2 linked regions of the Caenorhabditis elegans genome follow. The protein of the gene in region 2 purifies or fractionates together with the protein of the main gene of each other region. This does not show direct contact. Each region holds a gene or a part of one and is shown on either strand. Other genes may lie near its edges.

Evidence for each region. Proteins that work in one complex are often made in the same cells at the same time.
Region 1: the proteins of ZK512.2 (region 2) and nola-3 fractionate together in Caenorhabditis elegans (co-fractionation; one large-scale study listed by BioGRID). This does not show direct contact.

What each region holds. Positions count from the first base shown.
Region 1 is NC_003279.8:10,174,509-10,181,958, reverse strand, and holds nola-3 (Putative H/ACA ribonucleoprotein complex subunit 3), read right to left. Parts: upstream 2,918-7,450; coding exon 2,723-2,917; downstream 1-2,722. Other genes in the region: iars-2 (isoleucine--tRNA ligase), read right to left, coding at 351-591, 640-900, 946-1,239, 1,286-1,603, 1,652-1,710; C25A1.20 (Proteasome assembly chaperone 3), read right to left, coding at 1,652-1,722, 1,771-1,852, 1,899-2,114; C25A1.16 (uncharacterized protein), read right to left, coding at 2,315-2,393, 2,441-2,592, 2,641-2,721; fath-1 (Fatty acid 2-hydroxylase), read right to left, coding at 3,385-3,449, 3,690-3,847, 3,896-4,282, 4,330-4,433, 4,482-4,616, 4,669-4,770. UniProt on the Caenorhabditis elegans protein: Required for ribosome biogenesis. Part of a complex which catalyzes pseudouridylation of rRNA. This involves the isomerization of uridine such that the ribose is subsequently attached to C5, instead of the normal N1.
Region 2 is NC_003281.10:9,141,609-9,149,963, reverse strand, and holds ZK512.2 (putative ATP-dependent RNA helicase DDX55 homolog), read left to right. Parts: upstream 1-5,169; 5' UTR 5,170-5,177; coding exon 5,178-5,285; exon of another isoform or gene 5,286-5,359; coding exon of another isoform or gene 5,360-5,557; intron 5,558-5,610; coding exon of another isoform or gene 5,611-5,745; exon of another isoform or gene 5,746-5,753; intron 5,754-5,964; coding exon 5,965-6,248; intron 6,249-6,569; coding exon 6,570-6,713; intron 6,714-6,761; coding exon 6,762-7,050; intron 7,051-7,092; coding exon 7,093-7,585; intron 7,586-7,634; coding exon 7,635-8,053; 3' UTR 8,054-8,215; downstream 8,216-8,355. Other genes in the region: RING finger protein nhl-1, read left to right, coding at 193-1,522, 1,814-1,939, 1,986-2,120, 2,167-2,358; ZK512.8 (uncharacterized protein), read right to left, coding at 2,619-2,700, 3,073-3,410, 3,786-3,881; ZK512.4 (Signal recognition particle 9 kDa protein), read right to left, coding at 4,068-4,221, 4,538-4,614; ZK512.11 (uncharacterized protein), read right to left, coding at 5,360-5,557, 5,611-5,745. UniProt on the Caenorhabditis elegans protein: Probable ATP-binding RNA helicase.

The sequences.
Region 1 (7,450 bases), on a different chromosome or scaffold from region 2:
ATCTCGAAGCAACTGGAAGTTCCCGGCCTTATGGTAAATATGCAGCCGACATTGATCGAGGTCCGCGATAGACACTGAATGTCTTCGGCCACGTGGAGTCAGACGGTCCCTTTTCGCTTTGATCTACGAAAAATGCGGGAGGTGAGACGTAGACATCTCAACTGATTTCGCATGGTTAACAGTGTGCTTACGTCACAAATTTTCTGGGAAAAAATTCCCGCATTTTTTGTAGATCAAACCGCAATGAGACTTTCTGACACCCCGTGTTCGGCGTCTCTCGAAAAAGTCGGGGGCCGCGCCGTAGGTGCGGTCCACGGCTGGTATATATATAATTTCCTTATTCCACCTACATCATAATCCTGGAATCCATGTGCAAATGCTGTGTGCACTAAGCCAGTTCCAACTGTATCCGTAACGTGTGGACCTTCGTATATTGGAAGACCAAGTTCATTGTGCCAACAGCTTTTGTATCGTCTTCCGATCAAATTCGCAGGTTTCACTGTTCCAACAACTTTACACTTTCGATCACTTGATTTTTGGAATTCTTCGAGCAATTTAGAAGCGATGACATAGAATGTGGAAGTTGGATTGCTGAAAGAACTTTATTTTATTCTAAATATAGGATTTCAATTCTCATACTTGATTTCATTATCAAATTGAATCAAGGAATACTGAATAGCAGAGGACACGGAAATTGCGTTGTTAAGTGGAAGAGTCCATGGAGTTGTAGTCCAAATCAATGCGAAGAATTGAGAAATCTTGGAAGGTTCAGAATGAGCCCAAATGACATCAGATGATGAGAAGTTGATCAGCTTGAATCGGAAATAAGCGCTTGTACTTTGATGTTTATCATTGTATTCTAGCTCTGATTCAGCAAGAGCTGTATTTGAGCTCGGTGACCTAAAAACGAAGAAAATTATATTCGAGATAACTTGCGAAACGTACCAATAGACCGGTTTGAAGGATCTATACACCAGCTTCTGCTCCACAAGCTTTGCAAAAATGTCCAACTGAGCCGCCACGTAACTTGGACTTTTCGTCACATACGGTTTCTCCCAGTCAGCAGTAACACCCCATCTTCTGAATGCATTCATTTGCTTTCCGATGGCTTCATCTGCAACGATTCGAGCAGCAGCGCGTGTTTCCAATGGTGTTCGTGAACCAGCATTTCCTTGCTGTTTTCCTATTTTTAACTCAATCGGAAGTCCGTGACAATCCCATCCAGGACGGAAGAGTACTCTGAAATTTAAATTAAAGTGGAATTACTAATTGTAATTATTCATACCTATATCCCAACGCAATTCTACTCTTCACAACGAAATCTTTCAAAATCTTATTGATAGCATGACCCGTGTGAGCTTCTCCGTTTGCATATGGTGGACCATCGAGAAGTTCGAATATTTCTGAATCTTTTCGAGCAGCTTTTTGCCAGGAATACAAGTCGTTGAGTCCACCATCACTCGCTGCTTTCTGATCGGAAGACGAGCGTTCAGTTGACTTGATATGATTGATAAATGAAGAAGAAGGTAAAAATACTGTTGATTTTTTCTTATTGGGAGTTTCAGACGACGTGGATGACGAGGAAAGATGTGTGAGAGAGTTACTGGAAAAATCTTTGAATAGATTATTTATGATTATTTATTGTTTTCACCTAATGATTCTCTTCGAGGGCTTGCAAAGCGGCTGCAATGCATTCGTTCGGGATGCCATCAAGATCGATTCCTATAGAAAAATTGATTGTAAAAAACTATTTACTATTTCAAGATTTACCGAAAACAAAAAGAGCACTCTTCCTCTGGTTTGTTCCTGCGAAATGGATCACAAATCTACGAATGAATAACTCAACGCCGGGCTGTAAAGAATTGAACCGTTTCAACATCAAAATCATCTATTCATACCAATTCAGGATTTCCCAGCAAGCTCTTCAACTCGTATTCGACTCTTTGTTGATCGGAGAGCTGGCTAGATAGAATCTCTGGTGGCTGAATAACTTCGATTACTTGTCCGATTCTTCCTGTTGAATTGAAGTGCACAAGATCTTTGTCGGGATGCGAGGTTATCGAAAAGTGAATTGGTTCTCCGTTGAACTCGAAAGAAAAATCTTTGAAACTCATCAACCCTGTAAACCTGACAGAATCAAATTCGAAGAAATCTAATTTAAACCTGAAGTATTTGTAATGAGGATTCAACTTGCAATACAATTCCTCACTTTTTCAACATTTCATACTTTATTTGAGAGACAACAACAATGAGAAGAAAACAACAAGAATAGTACAAAAAGAATAAGAGAAAACGGTGGAAAAAAGACTAAAAGCTAGTCGTCAAGATCGTATTTCGAAACAATTGGGGGTTTGATGCGTAACTTGGGATCTCGTTGTCGTTCTAGGGCCTCTCTGAAACCATGAAAATATTATCAATGATTTTTTCAATTTACACAAACCTTCGATCTTTGCCTTCTTGTGGAGTTAAAAAGCGACCTTGCATAGTTTGCTCATCGACAGTCCAAAGGAACATATCGTTGAGAGTATAACCAAAAGCTTTCCATCCAACGAAGAAAAGAACAAAAGAGACGATGATACGACGACGAGACACCTGAAATTATAAAATATCGTTTGGAAAAATGCGAGATTTGTAAATTACCTGTTGATAATTGATAGGTTTATTGGGGGTGAAAGAGCGGATTTTTTGCCGCAACATGCGGCGCCACTCCCAAACCAGCATTTTAGCAAACGGTCTTTGCCTTCTGGGTTGGCAAGAGTCCGAAGCGCTTCTTGATGATGATGCGATATTTGGAGTTCTTGTCTTCCGGCGAAAAGCGAGCTGGATGAGCGGTAAGAGTTTGCTCTCCAGATGGAGCAGTTCTCTTCAAAGTGTACACTCTTTGTTGGTTCTCGTCCAAGAAGTATCTCAAGAACATTGTCCGTTGAAAGTAGACTGAGTTCTGAAACTATCAATGATTTCTAAAACTTCTGAAACTATAGAGAAATATGAAATAAATACGGCGCATTGCAACGAAAAAAAGAATTAGCGAGAAAGAATGAAGGGGTGATTTCATTAGATATTTTTAAAAATTATTCCAAATTTCACGCATAACAGAAAGAAAACAAAACAAGAAGGAATATCACAAAATGTTTGATGGAAACCGGTAAGAAGTGAGGATAATAGGCACGTGCTGAGTAGCTGATCTATATAGATAAAATGTGAAAACAAGTTGAACTAATCTGGCGTACGAGAAAAGAAAAGGTAAATCGATAAATATATATGTACAACGGGTATAGTGGATCGTGAGAAAAGTGAATCGGGACAAGAGACTTAGAGATAAAAAACGTGAGGCAGAGTTCACTCAATAAACAACAAATTTTCCGAAAAAACATCTATGTATTATTATAATGGGCCCATTCCGAGTGTGTGGAAAACATAATCCCAAAGAGAAGTCGAAATTCCGAAGCCTGAAAAATGAAAATAGGCCTGAAATAGGGAAAATGATAGAAAAATTTCGATTGCGAAAATGAAAGTGCAAACGCGCTCCATCGCAAATCTGTGTAATTTTCCGTCAGAGAACATTATATTTCACGACAATTTGCAGATTATAGAAAATCTCAATTAAAAAACAGTTTTTAATGTTCTTGACTTAAAAATAACAAATTAAAAATTGATTTTTAAACAAAATCCCGTTAAATGTAACTTACCGACGTCAAAGTTTTTGAAGTGGTGATTATGATGATATACTTTTCTAAAATGTAAATTGCTGCGTGGACGAGGACTTCCGTGATGTAAATAATAGTGTACCATATCGTAGGTTACATATCCAAATAACTTTCCAGCGCCAAACGCGCAAAACACTGGCCTAAAACGATTAACTGAATATGGGAACCAGGAAAGGTTTAATACTGACCATTGGAAGGTATTGGAGTAGATTAAATAGAAAATTCCAACAATCAAAGTAGCTGGAACCGGAGGGAACACAAGGCGGTCTCCGTCCATCGGTGTTTTATGGTGAAGTCCATGAGCCAAGAAATGAAGAAGAATCTGATTCGGCGAATCTGGAGACGGCTTCCAATGGAAAACCCATCGATGAAGACTGTATTCAGTGAGAGTCCATGTCAAAACTCCAATGACGAACCAGGCAGACCACAGGAGAATCGAGTTATAAACATCGGTGGATGTTGAAAATGAGAGCACTGAGAGGATAGAAAAAGTAATGACGATCGGCATCCAAACAGCAGGGACCACCCACCAAGCTGTTCTTGTCATGCTTTCCAACACATCCGAATCGAAAAGTCTGAAAAAAAGTGAAAATTTGCATTGAAAAGTCGAGATCATCAATACCTTAAAGTTCCATCATATGGTTGATGAATCCAATGCCAATATTCAGAGCCAAGAGATCCAACTTTGAAAAGCATTCCGGATTTAGACTCAATCAATGGATCACCCTAGAATTTTAGAAATATTAATAATTAGATTTGATGGAAGGAACGAACTTTTTGAATTGCATTCACATTATATCTCTCGAGCATATTATAAGCGGCTTCCGAGTGCTCATGACGTACACCCATTATCCTTTTTTCTCCTCTGATAAATTCTCCAATTTCTTCTCCAGCCAAACGATTCAGAACCTATAAAAAGTTTGAGATTAGTAAAATATCCTAAAACTTGAAAAAAAGTTACCTTGGCACCTCCCGGATGTTTAGGCGCAAAATCAGCAATGTCATAATATTGCCCGTCGAGTTGTACTAGCAACGGCTTCTTCTCATCTGCTCCTATCCCCATATTTTCCACTGAAATATAGAAAATTATAAATTACGAAACGTTATAAATATAGAAAATATGAAACGGGGAAAGCAATATGATCATGATCTCATAGTAGAAAAATAAGTAGCAAAAGGAAATGAGCACATTCACCAGAAAACGTCATTTTCCGGTCAAGAAAAGCAGCCATATGAATTGAGGTTAGGGTATATTATGGGGACGCAGAAAAAATACCTATTCAAATTGAAGTGCAAAGCGCGCCGCCTCCGGGCCATGGGTCTCGGTAGGAAGTTGGCGGCAGAACTCATTAATTCAGACGTTTTTCAATTAGTTTCATATTAAAAAATTTTTGTTATGTTTTAAGTTGATTTTAAAGATTTCTTGTTTAAGAAATTAATGTTGTTTCATTTGACTAAAAATTCATGTCAGAATTTCAGCATCAAAATCTTTAAAAACAACATAATAAAAAAACGAAAAACACTATTAAAACGTTTCGATTGAAGGTTTTTCCGTCAAATACCTAACGAGACCCATGGTTTGGGGGCGGAGCGTATCATGTTTCTGCGTCCTCATAATATCACGAGTGAAGGAGCTGTTCGAATCAAAAAAGGTATAACGAGATTGCAGAATGGATTGTTTTTCAGTATTCACCTGCTTCAGAAAAGTGATGATTGATAGCTGGAAATACTTGAAAACAACTGAAAATAGAATAAAAATCTCTGCTACATTGCTATATTGAATAATTTCTCTCTCTCTCTGAGTCGGAGCAGGAAATGCACGTAGGTTCTCATTTAATTAGGTAAATCAACACCGAAAGAAAAGGGAAGCAAGTAGACGAAACGGGAAAACATAGTATTACATGAATTCTGCAAGGGATTCAGAGCACATACATATAATAGCATAGGAGAGAGCCGACACAAGAGAGGTGGGTGGTGGAGCAGGAGATGAAGGTGAAGGGTTTCTGAGCAAATTTGAAACATGTGCATTGGACATCAAATGTGTAATTTTGATATGTTGCACTTGGTCTTTGTGTTGGCCTGAGTCTAGTTAAAAACATTGGAACAATTGAGACATATCTGCCTCAAGTAATCATAGTTTCTGAGCTTCGAAATTTCTCGGTTTAATATAATTTAATTTAGAAATCTTGCAGCAGTTAAAATACGAGTTAAAATATATGAAAACACAAGTTTTGGAACTACCACAACTACGATTATATAGAAGACTGAAGAGTTTTCTGGCAAACAAACTGTCATTTTCCCACGATTTTCCTAGTTTTTCTAGACACAAATCGGGCACAATTGTGCCCGTTGGTACGAATACTTAATGAAAAATGTGCCATCTCAAATAAACCGAGCCTTTATAAATATATATTTGCAAATTGTGTGAGCCTTTTCCTATTTAAGCGGAGATGGCAGACGCTGAGGATGAAATATTCAAAAATTGTCCAGGATGTCATTCTGGAGCATTTAAATATTTTTGTAATTTTTAAGGATGTTAGTGTGGAATCTGAAGAGTTAATCTATATGGAAGGTGATGGAAGTTTGATTTAAAGTATCATAGCACCCGGGTTAAAAGAGTAGAGATTGAAAGAGCAAACTAGAGCAAGTGACCTAATTGAATTGAATTCAACGAGATAAAATGTGCGGAATGAGAGTGCGAGCCTATGTATGTGCACGGGCTCTTCGTCAGAAACGGGGGCAAACAATGGGGTTGAATATTTTGCCACCCCGTCTATCGTCCATCCTTCCTCTCCCGTCAGTCAGTTCGATGAAATGGAAAACGGGGGAGGAAAGGGGCGTGGCGGGAAAGGAAGGAAGGAAAGAAGAGGCTCATGCAATTTCCAAAATTGCGAGGAGTGCGGAGCCGGCGGCGGCGTGTGCTCCTCCAGCTCAAGAGAGGCTTTTAAGCTTCTCTGGGCGACGGAAGGAAAACACTGAGCGCGCGGGAAACGAGACGAGAACTTTGTAACCATTGACAAACATACACAAAAGAATGGACTTGGACTCTTGGAGCCATGCAGTTAAACCATAGAAACCACCGCATTGTCTTCTTATTTTCAAAGAGTAAGAAGGAAACTCATTCGACGGGAAACTAATTTAGTTGAGAAGAATACGACGCGGCGTCGAAGAAAAGGAAAAAAAAAGAAACGCGAAATTGAAAATGTTTGCTTCAAGAAAGGCATAAAATGAGTCAGAGTGTCACTCATATATTGCGTCTGAACATATAAAACCTGCCTAGCCATTATATGATGATAAGCCGGCGCCGTGTTAGTTTCGTAAAAACGTGCGAATCACTGTGTGCAGAGAGGGAGACAGAGAGGCAGAGAGTGGACTTTTTGGGAAGATGGATAAATTCGGAGAGTACAGTCTAGAGATGAAGATCATGCAAACATGATTTTATTTTGCAAACTATCCAATAGTTCAGCATTTATGCAAGTGTCACTTCTTTTTTCTTTAAAAAAAATACGAAAAAATACTTCAAAAATTTTGAAACAAAACTGTTTGCAACATTTTTTTTTCGAAATTTCAAACTTTTCGGAAATTACCGCCTAGCCTTGTTTAAATTAACTAGGACCAGTGGACAAAACGACCACTTCGACAAATCTTGTTTGCTTTGATCTTCTTTTTTTGCAAACCGAAACTACAGTCACTATAGTTGTACTTTGTAGACATCTAGAACGTTTCCGAGCAAAATACAATAG
Region 2 (8,355 bases):
TCCAATTTTGGTTATTTTTTGGCCAAACACATATTGATCGCCCTTTATGAATATTAAATTTGGCACCGGCATTTTGACATAAATCTATTGAAGTTATAGTTCAATTTAGCTTGGATAATTTATTAAATGTATAATCTCACAATTACTTCTCCATACAGTTTCCCTCTCTAAACTATCCTCTTTTAATTTCAGTCATCGAAATCCTGAGCCTGATGAGTCCTCGATTCGTTACCGTCGTCGTCAGCAGCTGGAAGACGAAGCTTGGAATCGTCTCCGTAATTCATCTGCTGCTCCTTCTCTTCTTACTACATCAGTCACTGCGGACTCTTCATCACGAACATCGCCGTGGGCTGCTGATCGTGTCACCCGATCAGTTGAACCAACCAAGTCACGGCCAACAAGTCTGATTGTTCCGAATACTGAAACACCAAGAACTGTATCTCCAGCTAGTAAACCTCCTCTTCCACCACAATCTGTTGAACGGGTTGAGAGGACTGAAGATGCATCACCTGCTCCACTTCCACAACTTCCGATCCGAAAGCCACCTCTGCCACGTCAACAGTCCAGTAACGATGATTCTTTGAATGAGAAAGTGGAAACCATCCGTAGAGCTCATCAACAACGTCAAGATGCATCTAGAGCTGCATCAAGAGCAGTTTCAAGTGAAGAATCAGAGGGAGAGGATTTTCCCGTATCCACCAACCGCGGTAGAATACGAATAGTTTGTCGCGCGGCATCTGTAAACCGTGATGATGGACTGATGAGTATGATCCCAGGAACTGGTACGATCATAAATGTTCCGCCACCTCAACATCAACTTCCGGCATCCGCTCCGATCACCAATGGGACATCTGAACAAGTCGCGATTCCAGTCACACATTTCACAGGTGAGGAAGACGAAAGTGACATCGTCGTGCCAGCGTGGTTACAGCGTCGGAGGCAACGCTTCCAACGCTCGCGCACAAATCCCGACATACAGGCACAGTTCACAAGTGCTCGAGTGCAGCAGCTTCTCGCCGAACGTCAATCTCGTTTAGACTCTTCTACGACAACCGACGAAGAGAAAGAGAAGCTTGCCGTTTTGCGACAGCGTGGCCGCAGCGCTTCTCGTGAAGCTGGTGAATGGAGGGCTCGTGGTAGACCACGTGCAGTATTCGGACGAAAAGGTGCGAAGGATGGCGAGTTAAACTGGCCACGTGGAATTTGTGCATTGTCCGGAGGTCTTGTCGCAACTTGTGATTCGTCTAATCATCGTGTCTGTGTTTTCGATAAAGATGGAAAATTTGTTCGTCAGTTCGGAGGCTACGGTGCCGGTGCCGGACAACTTGATTCAGCTGCCGGGCTAGCAAGCTCAAAGCTCCGAGTTATTGTATCCGACAGGTACAATCATCGAATTTCCGTTTTTGGATTGGAAGGAGATCATTTGTTCTCATTCGGTGGACATGGACAGGGAAATGCTAAGTTCAATAATCCATGGGGAGTTGCTGTCGATGATTTGGGAAGTATCTATGTGGCTGATAAGGTAGGTCAACTATCATGAGACGTTTCTCAGTAATGCGAAAGTTCATAATTGTATACATTTTGATAAAAATTAACTTTGTTTATTAATTATCATCAAGAGAAGAACTTTGTTTTTGTAGATTCATATATTGCAGGCAAACCGGACGTCCGGTATTTTGAGTATCATTTTTTAATTTTTTTTTTTTTGGAAATTCGGACGCCGGACATTATTGTGGTCCGCTTTGCAGATCTAGATTAAATTTTAAAAAACATTGCCCCACATGCTAAAATACAAGTGAAGCTTAAATTATAGGATAATCACCGCGTCCAAGTCTTCGACAAAAATGGTCAATTCATTGCAAAATTCGGATCTTTCGGACATCTACCTGGTCAACTAAACAGTCCATTGTTCATAGCAGTTAGCAGAGTTACTCATCACGTGAGTGATTCCAGATAGATTCATGAATCATTCTGAATCGTTTCAGGTGTATGTATCAGATTCTTCGAATCATCGAATCAGCGTATTCGATCCCCACGGTGTTCATTTGTTTTCATTCGGCGAGGAAGGTTTTCATGGTGGACAATTCAAATTCCCACGTGGAATTGCTATTGATTCACAGGTAAGGCTGGAATGCTAAAGAAAAATTCTAAACCATTCATTTTCAGGAAAACCTAATAATCGCCGACTCCGGTAACAACAGGATCCAAGTTTTCGACGCCCAAGGTCAATTTGTCTCCTCTTTCGGAACTTGGGGTGGAGGAGCTGGACAACTGAAAGGTGTCGAAGATGTTTGTGTCACTGCTGACGGTTCAATTGTTGTCACCGATCGCGAGAATCATCGCATTCAGATCTTCTAAATTATGTTTTTTCGGGCCTTATTCTTGTTTCATTTTCAATTAAAATGTCTCCTTTGTAATTTTCTGTTATCGATACCGATGCCACCCAACTTTTTAGTGTTTTCATCTTTAGGTACAAAGCACTTTTACAAGTATTATTAATTATTATTACCCATTACGACTTTCGGTTTTAAAACACTTCTGTTTTCGAGTTTCAATAAAATATTTATTGAGAAAAAGGAAACATTCATTGGATTTCCGATTGCATTCGATTGTGGATTCTAAGCTTTGAAAGTGAAGAGGCAAGTTTGGCCAGCTGTTTGTTGGAAGACGGTGAAGCGCTCGTTGGCGGAAACTTCGTATCTGAAATTACAATAGCATTTATTAAATGAATGTTTGTATTAATCTAATTTTCTTATATTGGTTTCTACTTAGCTTTCTACGTACCTACTGTGCTGCCTAAAATTACTATACACCTAAATACATGTAGTAGGCCTACACGCATGCCTGCTAGGCCGGCAGGTGGTAGGCACGTATCAGTGAAAACGCGCTTGGATCCTATGAGAAGGTTAATGATACCGTGCAGAATTGACGAACAAATTTGTAAATTTTAGCTCTTATAACGGCCATGACATTGAGTTCACAGTGAGACCCATCCAAAAAATAGCATTTGCCTTTAAAGTGATGATTCCAGTTTTCACAAATTTACGATAATCCATGAGCTACATTAATCACCTCTTTCCACCTTCCTTCATCTTAGAAATTTTGAGAAGTCCACCCTTTCCAACATTGTACTCTTTTTCTGCCTCTGGAACTCCGCCCATCAACGTCATGATAGCTGGACTTCTGACAGGCAAGGAGCTGTTGGAATGAGCCGAAGTCACCGAAATCTCCTTCTTCATCATTGGTTGCTGGCCACGACGATTGTACGGATGCTTTGGAGCGTCTTTGTCGATGCGGCCACGCTTCAAAAGTGCAATTTCATCCATGAACTTGAATTCAGTTGGATTTGATGCCAACGACAAGTGCGTGCTCACTGGACTTTTTCCTTCGTCCGCAGGAATATCGACAGACTGAAATATTTTCTTCTTCATTAAGTTTTTCAACCACGTATTGTATGATACAGGTGCGAAACTTGGCAATTTTTTGCCTACAGCTCCTGGTCTCGGAGCGACAAATTGTTGTCAGATGCGGGAGGGTGTGCGCCTTTAAAGAGTACTGTAACTCCAAACTTCATCGATTATTGTTACCACTTATATTTTTAGTTTTTCAACAAATTAATAGTGTGTTGGAAAATCACTAAACATTCTGCAGCAACTAGACAAAATTACAGTACTCGTTAAAGGCGCACAACACTTTGCATTTAACAACAATTTGCCGCGTCGAGACCGGGCACCGTATTCCAAAAATCGGATTACAGCGCACACCAATAAAATAAATAAAATTACCTCTGCTCCATCAAAAGACACTGTCGGATAGTGTTGATCATTCTTGATTGAACGCGATTTACGATGCTTACGAGAGCTATCGTTCCGGTGAGACATTATTTCTTTGTCAAGCTAGAGGAATAAATTCAAACTGAATTTATTGATTTTTAAAGCTTTGGTTTATTTTTCTATCTGTAGTGTTGAAGTTCAAGTTCACGTATTTGAAAAACAATTTCATTCAATAAATATAAACTTTTTTTATTTAAATACTTAATTAAACCATAAACATAAAACAAAGCGTGTTTATTGAGTGACAATACCGCGAAGCAGGGTCGATGACAACTTCTCCAACTTTTTTACATCCTGCAATTGATTCGTACTGTATTGAAGGCAGACCACGTCATCGGTGAGCTTCAGCACGAGCTGTCCCTTTGTGTGGTTGTACTTGGTGACGAATCTGAAAATCAAAGTTTAGTTGTCACTAAAACTTTTGGAAATCTCCATGAGGAATGTTTTAGGGGATTTTTATTTAAATTCAGCTGAATATGCCATAAATAACAAAGAAACTACAAAAAAGTTGGTTGCAGAAATATCGACAAAAAGATTTTCCAGGAAATAATCCTTTAGTAATTTATGTTTCTCACGAATAAAAATTATTGATAAAATTGATTTTCTTTCGCTTTTCTATTTTATGTAAATATCGCACATTTAAGTAATCTATAACATTTTTCAATCCCGAAAGTGACGGTTTTTTTAAAATATTACGAACTAACCTGCATTTCTCCGGATTGGCACTATGAAGCCTTTCAGCAGCTTTTGCAAATTCGTCCCAGCTTGTGAAGTATGTCATTGTTTCGAATCTGAAAAAAAACTTGATTTATAAGTATGGAAGTATTTGAATAAGTAATGAGCGCAGAAAAGAAGGAAAGACGATTTTGGAGATTACTAACAAATAATATTATTAAAATATTCAAGTCAATTAATTCATAAATTCACTAGTAAAATAGTATTATTAAATTTTAATATTAAATAAAATGCTTAAAACATAATTTGTTGCCGGCCACATTTCAAGTGTCGTAAGATTCACTGCACTGGACGCAGAGATGCAATGCCGGTGTTTGCGTACTTTTCGAATTAATTTTTTTTGCTGAATTTTAAGAATTTTTAGATAATCTTTCTTATTCCTTAATAGTTTTGAATGGGTTTTAGTCTTATAATTAAGTGAGATTTCAATCTAATTTTTTCAACAGCTTTCGTATTTGAAAATTAACTAATTTTCATAGGAATTGACGGAATACTAAATATTTTCCTTGTTTGCTTTAATTAATTACTTCTAATGAATTTATCTTCTTATTAAACGTTTTCTCCGTTTAAAATATCTTTCCCAACCTTTATCTTTTTTCAGCCGTCAAAATGACATCAAAAGTGGGTCCAGTAGCCTTGAAAACGTTCCGCGAGAAGCTCGGCCCGGAACTGCTCGAAGTATTCGATAAAAGTTACAAATCGTTCACAGATGTACAAGTAAGTTTATAATAGTTTATTTGATCGAAGTGAAATTATATCAAGTGAGGAAATGTCCAAAATTTCCAAAGTAATCAATCCTTCTTCAATTTCGCATCCTTTTTTGCATCGTCCCAAGGAAATCTGAACGGATGAGCAGGTGTCATATCTCTCCATTCTCTATCTATATCGATATCGTATTCTTTAATTTTAACGTTAAAGCATTTTGCCATCACTATCACAAATATAACTGCCACAAGAACCACGAGAAAAGCAAACACGTAGAAAGTTTCCTGAAATTAAAATAATGTTTTTAATTAAACATTTTCCACTTAAAATCCAATACCTCATCAAACAACTCGTTGAATGTTGGAACTGCTTGATTCATCTGATGAACAACGTCCAACATTAATCGAGTTTTCCCATTTTTTCGCTTCCCTTGATAATAATACGCTCCCCAGTCCTGTTTCGGTTTGTTCATTCTCTAAAATCAAGAATATAAAATAAAAATGTTTGAAATATACAAGAAAAAGCATAGCATAAAATGGGTCAGAAGGGTGGGAGAAAGGATATTGATCGGGAGTTAGAGAGACGCAGACATGAGAGCAAAGGAGGAGTGTGCTCTCCTCAAAGCTGAGGAAAAAGCCATTTGATGTAGAAAGTAGTAGGAATGCATCTTTATTTAATTATCCAATTTCAGGTTCTCTCTGGAACACATCTCCTTAACCTGTCTGATGTTGTCGTTGAATCTCCAACTGGATCTGGAAAGACTCTTGCTTTCGTTTTACCAATGATGAGAATGATTCAAAATGCAAAACTTCAGCCTGCTGACATTGGAGCACTTATTCTATCGCCTTCAAGAGAGCTCTGCAGTCAAATCGTTAGCGTAATTCAACCATTCGCAGAGAAACTCAATTTAACTGTGGAAACAGTTACTGGAGGACAGAAAGTGGACAAAAATATCAAGATGTTCAAGAATAAAAAGTATGTTCGTATTTTTATGCGGAGTAAAAGATGAATTACAAAAAGTTCGCCAAAAAAAGCGAATTTCTTAATGAGACCTCAAAAAATTTCCATCATTTTTATGACGGTTTGAAAAATCGAAGAAAAAATCGAAAGTTATAGCAAAAATTAGTTTTTTTTTTTAGTTTTTGAGCTGCAAAAATATGACATTTTTTGGCAAATCTCATCATGAAATTCATTTATTTTTGCACATTTTGTATGTATCTACACACTCAAAAAACGTCCTCCTCTAACAGTTTGTGGAAAATAAAATATTCCCATTTTAATTTCTGCATTTTCCAGTGTCAACATTCTTGTCGCCACTCCCGGACGTCTTTTCCAAATAATTCAACACGAGAAGACCCTTATTGCTCGAAAAATGAGAACTCTTCAACTCCTCGTCATTGATGAAGCGGATAGATTTAATGAAATTCAGTTTGAGGATCAGTAAGTTTATTGAAGAACATATTCAGGCTTAAAATTGATTTTTTACAGTATGCGAGAGATTCTCTCATGTATCCCAAAGCAACGTCGTACCGGATTGTTCTCTGCTACTCAGGTTAAGGAAGAAGATGATTTGATGGTTTTTGGTTTGCGTAACGCAAAGCAAGTGAAAGTGGCTCAAGAGAGGAACTCGGCCGCACCTTCAACGTTGAAGAATTATTATGTCGAATGTCGAGCTGATGAGAAAACGAGTGTCTGTTTGGAGTTTATTCGCCAGAGAACGGATAAAAAGATTCTTATCTTCTTTCCTTCGTGCAATTCAGTTAGATATTTTTACAAGGTATATTCAATTTTAATGGAGATTATTATTAATATTATTCAGATTTTTGAAAGATGTCTTGGTAAACGCCCATTGTTCGCAGTTCATGGAAAATGCTCAAACCCACACCGTGCATCTCAAATCAAAGCATTCTCGGATAGCACCAATGGAGTTATGATTTCAACTGATGTGATGGCACGAGGAATTGATATCTCGGATATTGACTGGGTCATTCAGTTCGATCTTCCAAAACATTCCAGTTGGTTTGTCCATCGAGCCGGCCGAACAGCCAGATGTGGTCGTGAAGGAAATGCTCTTATTCTCATCGCTTCGGAACAGTTGGCCTATGTGAATTTCCTTGATAACCACGAGAAAGTAAAGCTTGATGAGATCAAAGTTCCAACTAACAATTCGAGAAAATCGGAAGAGCTGAGACAGAAAATGATCAAAATTCAAGTTTCTGATCGTGCAATTCTAGAAGCTGGAACTCGTGCATTTGTGAGTCACGTGGAGTCATATGCCAAACACGATTGTCATCTCATTTGCTCACTTGATGGTAGGTTATGCAAAATATATAATACAACGCTGAAATAATAAGTTTACAGATCTCAACGTGGTCGGTCTTGCCAATTCGTACGCTCTTCTCAGATTGCCGAAAATGCGTGAACTGTCACAAAGAAAAGATTTGGATATGTTCGACAGAAGTGCCATCGAGACATCTGAAATCAAATACGCCGATGTTAAACTAGAAGCCAATCGGGAAACTGTGATGAAAGAAAAGCACGAGAAGAAGGTCGAGACGTTGGCTGCAAAGGATAAGAAGCGCCGTGAGAAGGAGGCTAGAAAACTGAAGAAGATGGGTGGAAGGTTCAGAAATGGTGGTGGAACTGGTAGAAAAGCAGAGGAGAAGAAGGCTTTGAAGAGAAAGGCCGAAGAAGAAGATGATGCTCAAAATGATATCCGATTGTTGAAGAGAATCAAGAGAGGAAAGTTGAGCAAGAAGGAAATCAAGGATGTTCTTTAAATTGTTTTTTGTTTCTTTATTACTTTTTGTTTTCTTTTTTGTTATTGTCTTGTTATCACTGTTTTTCGTTTTCATAAATGAACGTTTTAAAATGAAAAATCAATTTATTGCAGAACGATATGAGATCGCAAGAAGAATTAAATAAAAAAGTTTCAATCGCAACTGATTCTTGCTTTTGTATTATCCAGATGCTAATTTAGCGAATTTTGCTCCAGGGTCTCGAAGCGATCGATTTTTTGAATCTCAAAATAGCGTGCGCCTTTAAGTACTGTAGTTGCTAAAGTTTTTCTCCCGTTGCTTCA